Pelodiscus sinensis: one gene and its partner. The protein of the gene in region 1 interacts with the protein of each later gene in a biochemical or structural test. Links are inferred from orthologs where the notes say so. Each region holds a gene or a part of one and is shown on either strand. Other genes may lie near its edges.

Evidence for each region. The genes of interacting proteins can lie anywhere in the genome.
Region 2: the proteins of PELI1 (region 1) and UBE2V1 form a complex in vitro, tested with the Homo sapiens proteins (3 studies listed by BioGRID). The link is inferred for Pelodiscus sinensis from reciprocal best matches to the Homo sapiens genes PELI1 and UBE2V1.

Annotation. Positions count from the first base shown.
Region 1 is NC_134713.1:184,653,268-184,661,087, reverse strand, and holds the start of PELI1 (E3 ubiquitin-protein ligase pellino homolog 1), read right to left. Parts: upstream 3,096-7,820; 5' UTR 2,815-3,095; intron 1-2,814. UniProt on the Homo sapiens protein: E3 ubiquitin ligase catalyzing the covalent attachment of ubiquitin moieties onto substrate proteins. Involved in the TLR and IL-1 signaling pathways via interaction with the complex containing IRAK kinases and TRAF6.
Region 2 is NC_134728.1:19,378,337-19,385,740, reverse strand, and holds the start of UBE2V1 (ubiquitin-conjugating enzyme E2 variant 1), read right to left. Parts: upstream 3,064-7,404; 5' UTR 2,930-3,063; coding exon 2,908-2,929; intron 1-2,907. UniProt on the Homo sapiens protein: Has no ubiquitin ligase activity on its own. The UBE2V1-UBE2N heterodimer catalyzes the synthesis of non-canonical poly-ubiquitin chains that are linked through Lys-63.

The sequences.
Region 1 (7,820 bases):
GGTTAGTCGACTATGCTATTACATCCCTAAGAAGCACCTCTCTGCCAACTTAGTAACATTACCTCCCTCAGTGATGTAGGATCACACTCAATGTAATTAAGTTGATGCAGTGTCAGCTTAGCATGTCAATTGCATCAACTGTTACTGGCTTTCACAAGCCATCCCACAATGCTCCACAATATAATAAAGTGTTCTAGGTGAGGACACACAACAGCAAAGCAAGAAGCCAAGTGTGTGTGCACACAAATGTTTTATTTAGGTTGAAGTAATTTTGTTGTTTACACATGGCCTTAGTTTTCAAACTAGATTCCCTGTTGTATTCCACAATTCTTTTTAAACAAGACTTTTCTTCCATTATAGAGAAACTATTAGGACTAGATTTACTATTCATTAAAGGAGGTATAAATATTGTTCAGACTAAATCAGATACCGGGCTCACTTGTCGTACAAAACTTTACCACTGTACCGCAATCCTGACATTATACAGTCCTAAAAAAAAACCTTAAACAATGGTCTTGTAGCAGCTTAGAAACTAACCAAAAGATGTGTAGATAGTTATGAGCTTTCGTGGGCACAACTCACTTTTTCAGATACTATCTGTGCGCGTTTTGGTTAGTCTAAGGTGCTATATAGGACCAGTGTGGGGTTTAAGTTTTTTTTTGTTTTAGTTACAGAGTAACAGCTACCCCTCAGACTATTATACAGTCCTGTTTTTAGTTCTGGACTTCTTGACAGAAGCAGCAAATAAGACTGATGCTGAACTGCATAATGGTTTAATAATATACTGAAATCAGGATTATGAGAAGACTAAGCAAACTCATTTTTATTTGGAATTTCAGTAATTATTTTTGAACTCTTCTCAGAAGTAAAATGCTAGCACAATTAATAGATTTCAAAGCAAGAATGGACTACTGTGATCATCTAATTTAGTCTCCAGTTTAACACAGGTAATACAGAACTTCCCTGAAATAATTCCCAGATCACTGACCTGCTGTACCTCCTCTAGAGCCAAACACTTTAGCTACATAATTATATCAAGTTATATCCGATTAATGTCCCCTCCCTCATTTAATCACTTTCCCAAAACAACAGTCATGATACTCTATCGCCTCTAAAATAAAATTTTAAAACTGGTACATTAAGACTAAATTTCTTTGCTGGCTCATTCTTGGGTATTAAATTAATTAACAACCATATTATGTGCTTCTGTCATGAGTAACTAGTGATTTTAGATGCCAAACCTGAGCCTCAAAAAGGGGCCTTGCTTTCAAACAATGGGTACTCAGAAATTTTTGAAAGTCAGGCCTTTAAAAAACAAACAAACAAATCCTTATTTTAGGCACCCAAAATTGAAACAACCACAATCACTGATCACATATGAAAATTGACTTAGAAGACTTGTAAATAAAAAAAAAAAAAAAAAAAAAAGATCACATTTTGTAAATATCATAATAGGAACTATGTTCTATTCATAAAAATAATCCAGGAAACTTGCATAGGAAATCTTCAGGGTAGGTCTCCCCTAATACATCTACAGCATACAAAGTGCTAAAGACCCAATCATCTTAACAGGACATTACATCTTTTCTATTTTGCAACATTTTGTATTCACAAAAACAGGAAACAACCTTTTCCCACCCAGCACCCTCTTGCAAATTCATGATTTAGGAAAAAGTCATTTTGCTGAGCACATTCAGAAGCAACCTCTGTAGTTCAGTCTATCGCCAACTAAAGTTACAAAATTTTAGAGCGGTGGATTTTAAACACTTAGTTCAATAAAAAAAAATCGAAGGCCTTTGAATGTAATCTGAAAATACAAAGTACTACTGTTGAAGTACAGCAGGCGTAGACACACACACGGAACTCTGTGTAGCACAGATCATGTAACCATAGATTTTGAGTCACATTTACTTAAAAGAAACACACAATCAGCATGAAAGTACAGGTCACTCTACCCAGTTAAGAGATTTTTGGCATGGGGGGAGGGGCCTGGGAAAGAATCACATGTGAAAATATAGCTGTTCTTACTCTCCTCTGCCTTTGAAATTAATCTTTTTTTTAATACATGTCCCCCAGCTATTATTTTACCTTTGCAAATACACTGCTTACCCCTGTAAAGAGCGTGGGGACATGGGTTACACAATTTTGTTTCTGCTAGCAAACTAAACTTGTGTTGGCTCATAGATCCTCTTTAAACGAGCCACAAAACACAGGCGAAAGGCACAGAAAACTATTACAACACAGACATTGTGAGAGAGCTTAGAAATAATCCAACACACATTTCAACTGACTTTTGGAGACTGGTTATGGGGATTCCTCCCCAGTAAACAGCAGGGAAACTATTGTGTCATCTAGGAAACGCCACGACTTACGAGTTTAACCCAGGCCCACAAAAGCCCCTTTGTTTTGTTTTGACCCTTCTGCTCCCCAGCCGCTCCACGGAGCGGTGTGGAAACAGGGTCCTGGGCTAAAGGAAATGAAGTCAGAGCTCGGGAGACGCGTCTAGTTTCGGGGGGGGGGGGGGGGAGACAAGAACTAAATAAAGTTGTAAGACACTAAAAAGGGAGCCAGAGGGGCTCGGCGACCCAGGGCCGCGCACCCAGCGGAGGGGCTGGGGCGGACGGGGCCCGGGAATGGCCCGTTGGGGGCACTGAAAGCCCGGCGCGGACAGGCAGGGGTGGACACGACACCCCCCGACGTGCCAAGCAGGAGAACGCAGCGCAGGACGCGGGGGGGGAGGGAGACCCGGCGGGGATTTCTGCCCCCCCCCCACCCCCCGGTTACCACACACCGGCCCACAGCGGCGAGACTCACCCGGGCCAAACCAGCGGCGCCGACCGTGGCGATCCCCCGCGGCCGGAGGCGCTGCCCCGCCGCTCCGGGTCCACAGACGCCCCGCGAGGGAGAGGAACCCACGACGGGCTGGGGCGCGGAGCCCAAAGCGCCTCCCCTCAGGCGGCAGGGCGGCGGCGGCGCGACGCGAGCAGTTCCCTTTGTGGCCGGGATCGCGAACACGAGCGCGAGCAGCCAACCGCCAACGAGCCTCCAACGCTCTGGCTCCGCGGCGGCCCGCAGCGGCAGCTCCAACACTCCGGCGGGTGGGCGGGGCGTGGTGACTTCATCACCCCGCGGCAGCGCGCAGGGGGATCATGGGAATTGTAGTTCTTTACCCACCCCTCCCCAGCTCAACTCCCCGGTGCTCTGCCCGCGCAGGTCGAGGGGAGGCGGTATGCTGCTGGGCCATGCGCCATGCAGGGCTGCTTAGCTGGCTCCCCCCTTCCCAGCCTCGTGGGCGGCGGGGTGCAGCGCTGGCTGAGCCTAGGAGCTGTCTGCCAGACTGTAGGGCATCATCAGGCCATGGACTAGCTAGCCTAGGCGACCTGATAGCTGGCTGGGGAGATTCACCCATTCCTATGCCCCTGCCAAAATTGTAATTGCAAAGAGGGGTGCCCCTGCATGCCCCTTCCCTGCAAGCACCAGTTGCCATTGTCCGCTAGCCCAGCAGCCTGGCTCCCACCCTGCCCGTGCCAGAGGTTCAGGAAAACCTACAGAATAGCCTAGGGCAAGGATGGAGTGATCCATCTCCTCTTCCACTCCCCACTCCTGGCAGTCAGAGGCTGAGAGCTGCCCCTCTAACTCGGATGAGGTTGTGCCCCGCACCATAGCCGGTAGTGTATCCTCTGTGAAACTGGAGTAGCAAATTAGCTTCTGGGCCAGCAGGGTATGTGCCCCAGCCAACTTGGGGCCTGGAAAAATGGGCTCTCCTGTGCCCTGATCCATTCTGCCCTTCCAGTGCTTCTGCATAAGGACCAGGGTGGGAGGATAGGACTAAAGGTGGAAGGGGTTGTGAGGCCTCCCCACTTGCTCTAGCTCAGGGCCCCAGAAATCCCTAATCTGCTTCTGAATAGCCCATGGAAATACACTACAGAAAAGATTGAAGCTGCCACAATCAATCTTCCAGGGTTCAAATTAGCAGGTCTAGTGAAGACACACTAATTTGAACTGAGAGGGCACTCCCATTGAGCGCAGTAGTCCTGGTCCTATGATTTCCCTTACTCCTTAAAAGGAGAATGTGCTCCCATCAACCTCCCTCGGTATGGATGGCACCAAAACTCAATTTAAGATAGTTTGACTCCAGTTGCACAATTAATGTAGCTGGAGTTGTGTATCTTAGTTTGAACTTATCCCCTAGTGGAGACCCAGCCTGGGTGAAAAAGGAGACTTCCTCTTGTTTGTATCCAACTTGCATCTGTTCAGGGAAGCCGGGGCAATGGGCTGGGAAGTCTGATACTGTGCTAGCTGAGTGCATCTGCCCATGAGAGTCAGCAATACACTGCAAAACAACTACCGGTTAGAGTTGCCTGATTGAAGCAGCATTGCCAAAGTCAAGTGCTCCAAGATTGTGAGAAGACTAAAACCATCACAATTGACTGGATAATCATGAGATTTTAAAAAAGGAAATAAATCAGGTCTGGGTGTAGGCTTCAGAGAGGGGAGAGTTCCTATTTTCATACAGTTGTAATTTCCTTGAAAGGAAGGTGGTCACTTGAACTCTGAGTGTTCGGATGTCTATTTTACAGAGTGGGAAACAGGGACAAAGCAACTGACTTGTCCGAAGTCATACAAGTCCATGGCAAAGCTATGAATCCAACTGCTGGGAAGCAAGGATTGGATATAAAATGACCTACTCACTTCTGAGGCAAATGCAACGCTATGACACAGACTTAATCATGTGTTGATGATGCCATGTGGCTCTCAGTAGTAATTTTAGGACTCTGTTGAGCCCTGGGTTGCTTTGTTGAAATGAGGACAATTCCAGAGAAAACAGTCCAGAACAGCAGATCATTTAACTTAGCTGTGTCATAATTCATCCAAAGCTGGCGAGAACAACACTTACCTCCCTGACAGTAGGGTCATGAGGCTCGATAATGGTTCTTCTACACACAGGGCTAATGTTGAAATAAGCTACATAACTTCAGCTATGCCAATTGCATAGCTTAAGTCGAAATAGCTTAATTTGGCTTTTGGTGCTGTCTACACAACAAGAAGTCAAAGGAAGAACACTCTTTCTTTGACTTCCCTGATTGCTCGTGAAATGAGGGTTACCATGAGTCAGAATAAGAAGTCCTTCAGCTCAGCATTAATTCAAAATAAAGGCTTGTAGTGTAGATGCACACTATCGTATTTTGGAATAACGCCAGTTATTCTCAAATAAGACTGCTGTGTAGATGTACCCTAAGGGTATGTCTAAACTACATCCCTTTTTTGATATAGGGATGTAAATTAGACATATTGAAATGGCAAATGAAACCGGGATTTGAATTTCCCACACTTCATTTGCATAATGGCAGCTGCGGCTTTTTTTCGAAAAGCCGCTTCTCGGGAAAAAAATGCAGTCAAAATGGGGATCTTTCCACAGAAATGTCATGTTTCGAAAGATCTTGTAAACCTCATTTTTTGAGGGTTACAGGATCTCTCGAAACAGAGTCTGTCGAAAGATCCCCGTCCTGACCGCGTTTTTTTTTCCGAGAAGCAGCTTTTCGAAAAAAAGCTGCAGCCGCCATTATGCAAATGAAACATGGGAAATTCAAACCCCAGCTTCATTTGCCATTTCGATATGTCTAATTTACAGCCCTATATAAAAAAAGGGATGTAGTTTAGACATACCCCAATGTTTAAGTTTAGGGATCATCAGACAAAAGTCCCTATAAAATTGAAAAATATTATGATTAGATTTTATAGGTTCCTTTCCCTATACTGTTAATCAGAGACACAACGGAGACACAATGTGCATCCCAAGGGCCCTGTGTGGCCTGTAAAGCCTTAAAATACATCCCACAACTGTTATCTACCTATAGTTGCGGAGTGAGAATAAAAAGCTGATCAGCTCCAGGAATGCTACTAATGGACTCTTCAGCATCACATGGGGTAGGTACCCCACCATGAATCAATGAATGACATATTGGAAATAGAAGCCAGCTCTAAAAAGCACCAGCAGTGACTCATCAACAACATCTTCAGAGACGTACATATTTAAAGAGAGACAGTAAAATTATTAAATGATTATTTAATGATGCATGAGAATTCCCATGAGCCACACCGGAGACGGTGGCATGAGCTGACGAGTAACTGATCATTGAAGTGGGGCTTATGATACACCCACAAAAACTCAGCTGATGTATGTATATCAATTATTAATAATAATTATGTACTTTAAAGTAGAAACCAGATTCCCCAGTTGAGATCTCATTGTGAGATGTTGTATAAACACATTATGAGAGACAGTCCCCTATCTTAAGAGCTTGCAATCTAAATAGACAAAAGGAACAATGGGTTGGAAGGGATACATATTCACAGAGCGATGATGTGACTTACCCAAGCTATGAAAGGCCACCATTTTGGCAGCGTTATACACTGATTTTGGCCAGTAGTAAATGACTCTACACCAGTGTAAAGCAATAGTGCATCAGGAAATCATAACTTGAAAGTGTCCTCTGATCATATTTTCTCTTTCTTGTATATATTTAAAAATACATAAATAATTTCCAATTTTATTTTATATGTAGAAAATCACTAACAAAATCTGAATTTTAATAAATAAAATCCCTTTGAACATTTTGTCCTATAATTAATGTCAAACAGAATCTTTTATTTTGTCTGAAGGAAACTCCTGACTAAATAATTGAAGGAGAAAAATTAAAATCGTACCCAGCACCTGTATATTTTCCAACTACATGTTTTCCACCCTGTGTAATAGCACAAATGGATTCTGGTCCATGACTGGCATTCTTAGGTGCAACCACAAATAATAATAAGAATAATTATAATATACAGGCAGTCCCCGGGTTACGTACAAGATAAGAACAAACCTATAGTCCCTAAGTTGAATTTGTATGTAAGTCGGAACTGGCTCCAGATTCAGCTGCTGCCACTGAAACTGACCAGGGGCTGACTACAGGAAGCTGGAGGCAGAGTTGCTCTGCCCTCAGCTTCCTGGAATCAGCCTGATCAGTTTCAACAGCTGCTGAATCTGGAGCCTGGGACAGAACAGCTGGGGCGCTGCCCGGTAGGTTCCCACAGGACCAACCGGGAAGCACCCCAGCTGCTCTACCCGAGGCGTCCCGCAACAAAAGCCTGGTTTGCTGGGGGGGGGGGGGCACACTAGCGCACCCCCCCCCCAGCAGACCAGGGAGAGCCAAGCAAAGCCGCACAGGCGGAGGGACCCCGCCGCCCGTGTGGCTTTGCTCCTTTGCCCCCGAGCAAAGCCGCCCAGGCGGCAGGATGCCACCTGTGCGGCTTTGCTCCTGTCCCCCTGGTCTGCTGGGGGGGGGGTCCAGCAAAGCCGCTGGACCCCCCCCCAGCAGACCAGGGACACCCGAGCAAAGCCGCCCAGGCGGCGGGACCCCCGCCGCCTGGGCGGCTTTGCTCCTGTCCCCCTGGTCTGCTGGGGGGGAGGTCCAGCAAAGCCGCTGGACCCCCCCAGCAGACCAGGGGGACAGGAGCAAAGCCGCCCAGGCTGCAGGGGTCCCGCTGCCTGGGCGGCTTTGCTCCCGGGCAAACGAGCAAAGCCGCCCGGGCGGCGGCTTTGCTTGGGTGTCCCTGGTCTCTGGGGGGGTCCAGCGGCTTTGCTGGACCCCCCCAGCAGACCAGGGAGACCGGGAGAAGCTTTTCTCGTCCCGGAAGACACGGGTGGCGACCCGCCGCCCGTGAGCTCCGGGGCGAGAAAAGCCCCGTTCGTAAGTGCGGATCCGACATAAGTCAGATCCGCGTAAGTCGGGGACTGCCTGTAATAAATGTAATATATTATATATTGAATATTA
Region 2 (7,404 bases), on another chromosome or scaffold:
TTTCTTGGCCTAGAAGATGAGCATCAGTGATGAGATAAAAAGGGTGAATATGGTCATTAAAGAACTATACCACACTGAAATCTACCAGAGTTACAATTAATTTTGCATAGGTGGGTTTGGATGGATTTTATTATCCTAGTGAAAAGTGTATTTTGATTAAAAAAATCCATTTCTCCCATGCTCTCCTATGCTGAAATGTCTCAGAGTATATTTAAACTATTGTGATTGTGCCCCTCTAGTTCTTCAGGCCTAATCTACATTAAAAAATTAACTCAGCTCAGCTATGCATAGTTAAGACGAACGAAATCCTCATATGCACAGTGCTGCTTTGACGGAAGAATTCTATTGTCTCTTGGAAAGGTGGATTAACTACACCAACAGGAGAGTCCCTCCCACTGGTGTAAGCAGTGTCTATACTGATGCACTACAGTGGTGCAATGTGCCACTGTATCATCTTACATGTAGACAAGTCCCCAGTGGGAAACTACCTACATCAACAGGAGAGGTTCTCCCAGGAGCGTAGGTAATGCAATCTCTCAAGAGGTGGTAGCTAGGCTGAAACAAGAATTCTTTGGTCAACCTAGCAATGTCCACATGAAGGGGGGAAGGAGCAGACAGTAAATAAGTACAGGCAGTCCCCGAGTTACGCGGATCCGACTTATGTCGGATCCGCAGTTACGAACAGAGCTTTTCTTGCCCCGGAGGACGGGAGCGGTCCCGCCACCCGTGTCCTCCGGGGGGAGGAAAGCTGCTCCCCGTCTCCCTGGTCTGCTGGTCAGACCAGGGAGACGGCGAGCAAAGCCTCGGAGGCCGCCCGCAGTGGGACAGCAGCGGCGCGTCTGGGCTGTCCCGTTGCAGGCTTCCTCCGCAGCTTTGCTCCGCGTCTCCCTGGTCTGCTGGAGGGGGGGCTCAGCTAGTGCCCCCTCCCTCCCAGCAGACCAGGCTTTTCTGCCCACGGTAGAACATCCGGGGCGCTGCTGGGTTGGTCCCGCAGCACCGCTCCTCGGCGCTACTGGACCAACCCGGCAGCACCCCAGCTGCTCTGCCCCAGGCGTCCCCAAGTCAGTCGCTGCTGAAACTGACCAGCGGCTGACTACAGGAAGCCCGAGGCAGAGTTGCTCTGCCCCCGGCTTCCTGGAATCAGCTGCTGATCAGTTTCAGCAGCAGCTGACTTGGGGACACCTGGGGTTCTTAAGTTGAATCTGTATGTAAGCCAGAACTGGCATCCAGATTCAGCCGCTGTTGAAACTGATCAGTTTCAGCAGCGGCTGAATCTGGACGCCAGTTCCGACTTACATACAGATTCAACTTAAGAACAAACCTACAGTCCCTATCTTGTACGTAACCCGGGGACTGCCTGTATAGCTATGTCTCTCAAGTACACAGATTTTTTACACCCCTCACTTTCATAACTATGATGACAATACAAATGCCCAATTACGACCAACCTTCAGTAACTTCAGGTTTATTCCAACAGCCCTTTTAATCTGGAAAGAATATACTCAGAGGCTACGTCTAGACTGGCCCCTTCTCCGGAAGAGGCATGCAAAGCAGGCAAGTCAAATAGGGAAATCCGCAGGGGATTTAAATAAACATGGCCGCTGCTTTTTTTCCGGCTTGGGGAAAAGCCGGAAAAGAGCGTCTAGACTGGCGCGATCCTCCGGAATAAAGCCCTTTTCCGGAGGATCACTTATTCCTACTTGCAAGTAGGAATAAGAGATCCTCTGGAAAAGGGCTTTATTCCGGAGGATTGCGCCAGTCTAGACGCTCTTTTCCGGCTTTTCCCCAAGCCGGAAAAAAAGCGGCGGCCATGTTTATTTAAATCCCGTGGGGGATATTTAAATCCCCCGCGGATTTCCCTATTTGACTTGCCTACTTTGCATGCCTCTTCCAGAGAAGGGGCCAGTCTAGACATAGCCAGAAAGAATAAAAGACAAAGTAGGGTTGAATGCTTGAGAAGAAGAAATCAGGTTAAGGGTAAAGGAGAAGCAGTCAAGAACATCCTCCCAACTTGGAACAAGTCATCCTTATTCTCCTCCAGCCTGGTTTTCCCGACAACCTACCATCTTGCCATTTCTCAGCCTGGTACTCCCATAACCTTATCCCCTGCAAAGACACCCAGCCTGGCACACATGGCATTCCTCCTCTAGGTTATGGAATCCAGAATGCTCCCTGTTCTCGAAAATGCCCCATCCTGACACACAAGGCAGCACCCCCAGAACGCCCTTCTGCCCATGGATACTGCACCCCAGCACACAAGGCAGCCCCCCTCTAACTAGTACCCCCAGAACACCCTTCTGCCCATGGATACTGCACCCCAGCACACAAGGAAGCCCCCTCCAGCCCAGCACCCCCAGAACGCCCTTCTGCCCATGGATACTGCACCCCAGCACACAAGGAAGCCCCCTCCAGCCAAGCATCCCCAGAACGCCCTTCTGCCCATGGACACCGCACCCAGCACACAAGGAAGCCCCCTCCAGCCCAGCACCCCCAGAACGCCCTTCTGCCCATGGATACTGCACCCCAGCACACAAGGAAGCCCCCTCCAGCCCAGCACCCCCAGAACGCCCTTCTGCCCATGGACACCGCACCCAGCACACAAGGAAGCCCCCTCCAGCCCAGCACCCCCATCTCCAGCCGGCACCCCACTGTCACCCTTCCCCTGCAGTCCCCAGACACCCCCAGGGCCTCTTCGCTCGGAACCTCACACGCCCGGACTGGGGCTCCCGGCCTAGCGCCCCTAAGCCGCCGCCGCCCCAGCAGACACGCCCCGCCGGCGAGCCCCCGTTCACGGGAGCCCGCTGGGCCAAAGCCGGTCACCGCCGCGTCCGCCGGTACCAGCTGCCCCGCCTCCGGCGGCGAGCCCCTCCTCCCCGGCCCGGCCTCGGCCACCCGAGCCCCGCTCACCCGAGCCCGTGGTGGCCGCCATCTTGCGCCGCTGTCGCTCCGACTAGCCCGGCCTTCCTCCCGCCCACGTCACCGTAACGCGGGAAGTGCGGCGGTAAGCGAGTCCGGGGGCTGACGGGAGGCGGTGCAGGCGGGCGCAGGAAGAAAGGACCGGTGAGCTGGGCGGGCTGACCCGTGGGAGCTAGATTTCTAGAGGCAGATATCGTGGGTGGGAAATTAGACCCGCGGTCGGGCGTGCTGTATGTGAGTTTCAGAACAAGTTGTTAGACAGGGGAGGGAGAGATCAGTGGTTTGAGCATTGGCCTGCTAAAGCCGGGCTTGTGACTTTAATCCTTGAGGAGGCCATTTAGGGATCTGGGGCAAATTGGTCAGGGATGGTATAGTACTTGGCCCTGCCATAAGGGTCCCTTTCAAGCCCTATGAGATAGGTATATTAATACCTACTGCAGGCAGCAGACTAGAGAGAGCATGGACTCTATAGGGGAGATAAGTGCACCACAGCAATCTGTCAGGGATGAAGGGAATATCTGTACTGGCATCTATAGGCAGTGGTATTGGAACTAGGAGTGCTGCAGGCCTCTGGCTTGAAATTGTAATAAACCCAAAATATATGGTTTCCATCATCAGCACCCCAGTGAGCAGGGGATAGTGCAGCTACCATACATAAGGGAACAAAGCCTGTATCGATAGAGGCAATAAGTACTCCTGTGGCATCTCAGATACTAACGATTCAGAGGCGTAGCTCAGTTAATCAGTAACAGGAAAAACTTAAAAAACAACAAATAGTCTAGTAGCACTTTAAAGACTAACAAAACGTTTAGATGGTGCTATGAGCAGGGCTCAACAATTAGTGTAATCTACTCGCCCATAGCTATGAGACTATTAAAATCTATAAATATGATCATGAGCTTTTATGAGTAAAACCCACTTCATCAGATGAGTCATCTCCCAGAACCTCATCTGCCTGAATTGGGACCCACAGTCCCCCTCACACTAGGGTCCCTGGCCTACCACCTCCAGCCACCACCACAGTATCTGATGAAGCAGGTTTTACTCACAAAAGCTCATCTTTTATTTATATATATATATATATATATATATATATATATATTTTGCTGTGGGATGACTGAGTGACATGACATCATCCACCACCCCGCCTCCTACTTTCCTCCCTCCTCCCCACTGCTAACCCGGCAGGGATCAGCAACCTATGGCTCCTAGGCAGCAGCAGCACTGAAGATAAGCTGCTCCTGCTGCTAGGCTTGTGTGGGGTGGGGGAAGGAGGAAAATTATGGTGCTCCAGCAGCGGGTGAGGGGGCCAGCAGAACGGCCTGCTGCAGGAGTGGGGCCCAGACTGTGGGACACCCTGGCCCTGAGTTGTGACTGGGGCTGGCTGTACCTCTGGCAGCCACCATGTTGCGGGCAGCTGCTGGAGTTTTAAATCGTGCTGCTCCCCCAGAGCCACGAGCACTCCACCCTTACGGGGAGGGAGAGCTGTGAACCATGTGCCCTCCCCCTTCACAGCCGGAGGGAGAGAACCGGGGCAGCTGCATACCCTCCCGCCTCACGGCAGGAGGAAGAGAGCCAGGCCAGTCGCATGGCCTTGCCCAACCCCCCAGCAGCCAGAGGGAAGAGAGCCGGGCCAGCCATGTCCTCAGCCCAGCCCAACCTCTGGTGGCCGGGATTGAGGGAGAACCAGGGCAGGGGCTGCCGACCCGCACAGAGGCAGGTTGGCAAATGTAGCGAGCAGGGAGGGGCACTGCCCCCTAGTGATCCTATATAGTTTTGTTAGTCTCTAAGCCAGGAGTGGGGAACCTTTTTGGGGTCAGGGGCCACTGAACCCCAGAAAAATCAGGGGGCCACACACAAAAGACATAGTCCCCAACTGAGAAGGAGAAAGACACTCTCCACATTCTCCTCCCACACCAGAGCCAGGGGGCGGGGGGTGTCAGCATAGTAGATTTTGTGTGCTTCAGCCCTACAGTGGTGGGGGGGGGGAAGGGAAGAGGGGACAGGAGGAGAGGGCTGGAACACCAGCATGGGCTCAGTGAGACCTGAGCCTTGAGGGCCACATCCAGGCAAGCCAGGAGCTACATCCGCCCCCAGGCCTGAAGTTCCCCACCCCTGCTCTGATGTGCCACAGACTACTCACTTTTAAAGTTACATAGTGATAGAAATGTAGCCGTGTTAGTCTGGTGTAGCTGAAACAAAATACAGGACTATGTAGCACTTTAAAGACTAACAAAAGAGCTTCCCCAATTATCACCTCTATACTATTAACTCACAGACATCTACCCTTCCCCACCTCTAATATCATTAACTCACAGTCATTCACCTTCCTTCCCCCCCCCCCCGCATCCCCCCTCTGTTCTGAAATGTGATTTGTCCTTTTCATATGTGTTCATTTTTTTTAAATTGTATCCTTTGGTATATATGATTGTGACTATTTTCTTCCACTATTTGATCTGAGGAAGTGGGTCTGGCCCACGAAAGCTCATCATCTAATAAACCATCTTGTTAGTCTTTAAAGTGCTACATAGTCCTGTATTTTGTTTTAAAGTTACAGACTAACACAGCTATAGAGGACACTCTAGGTTACTACAACCCCTGCATCTCTATAGAGTTAATTACAGTAGTAGTATTGCTGTGTATTATTTTGCATCCTCCCAATGTGTCCCACATGTCTATAAGATTGATTAAAAACACAAGCTCCCGGTTTCAGAGTGCTAACGGCCAAATTTCAGACATGACAGAGCATAGGAGGAGATAACAAAATCATAGGGCAGGAAACAGGTAGCACAGATAAAAGGATGTGGTTAAGTAAGTCATGTGCACATGATGCACCTCATACAGGAACAATGCTGGTATCTGGAACTCAAATATGCTATGACAGGGCACCACAGTGGTTAACTGGAGAGGGCTCTCAGTGGAACAGACTGCAGGAGACTGCAGACAGTAATGGGCTGGTGGGAACAGAAGGCTCAAAGGATGGAAAGCAGGGCTGGCACCTGCTACAGGTTGCACCAAACAAATGTTCTCCAAGGCTCCAGTAGCCCATGCCACGATTGCCCTAAGCTCATCCTTTTCACTGCAATATGTCAAGGAAAGGATATAGAATACCCATATTCTAGCATTTCACCAGTAGTCCATATATATGAATATCATCTCCAGCACACAAAAACTGGGGCTTGAGCTCATTTACCTAGGTTGTAAAAATGGAGTATTATCTGCTATGTATTTTAGAGAGTTTGTGTGTCTGTCCATCCGTGAGTCTATTTGTTCAAGAATATCTCCTAAGCAGCGAGCCAGAACCATCAACTTTGGTATGCAACTTCCTCCTATCATAACTTAAATCTAGGTCAGGGTTTGATTGTGCCAGGGCAATGGGATGTGCCTGGAATTCAATGGTTTCTCATAAAATGGAAAAAGGAAGAGACTGGTAAGAGGGACATTTATACTGCAGAATGACAACAGAGACAGAGCACGGGGACAAGAATTGCTATAACCCCATTAAGCCAGCAGAGAGCATGGGTGGGAGAAAGGAGAGCTATCCTACTCTCAGAAAGTTTGTTTGCGTCTGTCCCTCACTTGGGGGACTTGCACTCCTCCACGGTGGTGCCCGCTGCAACAGCCACAGATAGGCACTTCTCACCTGGCCCCAAGCTGCTGCAGTCAAAGAGCTGGGGTTGTCCTTTCTCCCTGGGGCAGCCTGCATCCTGAACCCTTCATCCCCAGACCCATCCCACAGCAATTATTTAAATGAAGAAAAAGAAAACATTTTGAGTGAAGGACCCAAGCAATGCCAGGTCAATCTTCTAGTGGCAAAATACTTGAGAACCTCAGACTGTATGCTACTGGAGCAATTTGGGCTTGCAGCCTGGGGTCAGTTATGTCCTCTCTATAGCTTGGTGGGGTGACACAGAGCAGCCAATTGCACTGGATGATATTGAACCTGAAGCCCCAGGTAAGTGATGGTAAACTGGACTCTACTTTCCTCTAGGATTTACTGGCCATAAGCCATCATTAGACTTTTACATTAATCAGACAACATGCTAATTTTAGAAGGGAAGTGAGAGTGTGTGTTTTCATTCCAGAAAATTCATATCTAGATTGTCTCAGCAGCAGGTAGCACACTTGACATCAGAAAAATGAAGTGAAAATGTTTATGTATTTAGAAACCTGAACTCTTTAAATCAGGTTTTGAGGACTTCATTATCTCAGCCAAAGGTTAGGGGTCCATTACAGAAGTGGGTGGGTTTCTATGGCCTGCAATGTGCAGATTAGACTAGATAACCACAATGGTAAATTCTGACCTTAAAGTCTACAGCAGGGGTCAGCAGCCTTTTCAAACCAAAGAGCCAAACTACATCAAAATTCAGAACAAGTGGTCAACAAAGAGCCCATTTGTAGGACTGAAAATATTCTATTAATAGTGATAATTGACATGATTAATAATAGTATAAATGAAATATTGTATTCACAGACTACTTAATGGGA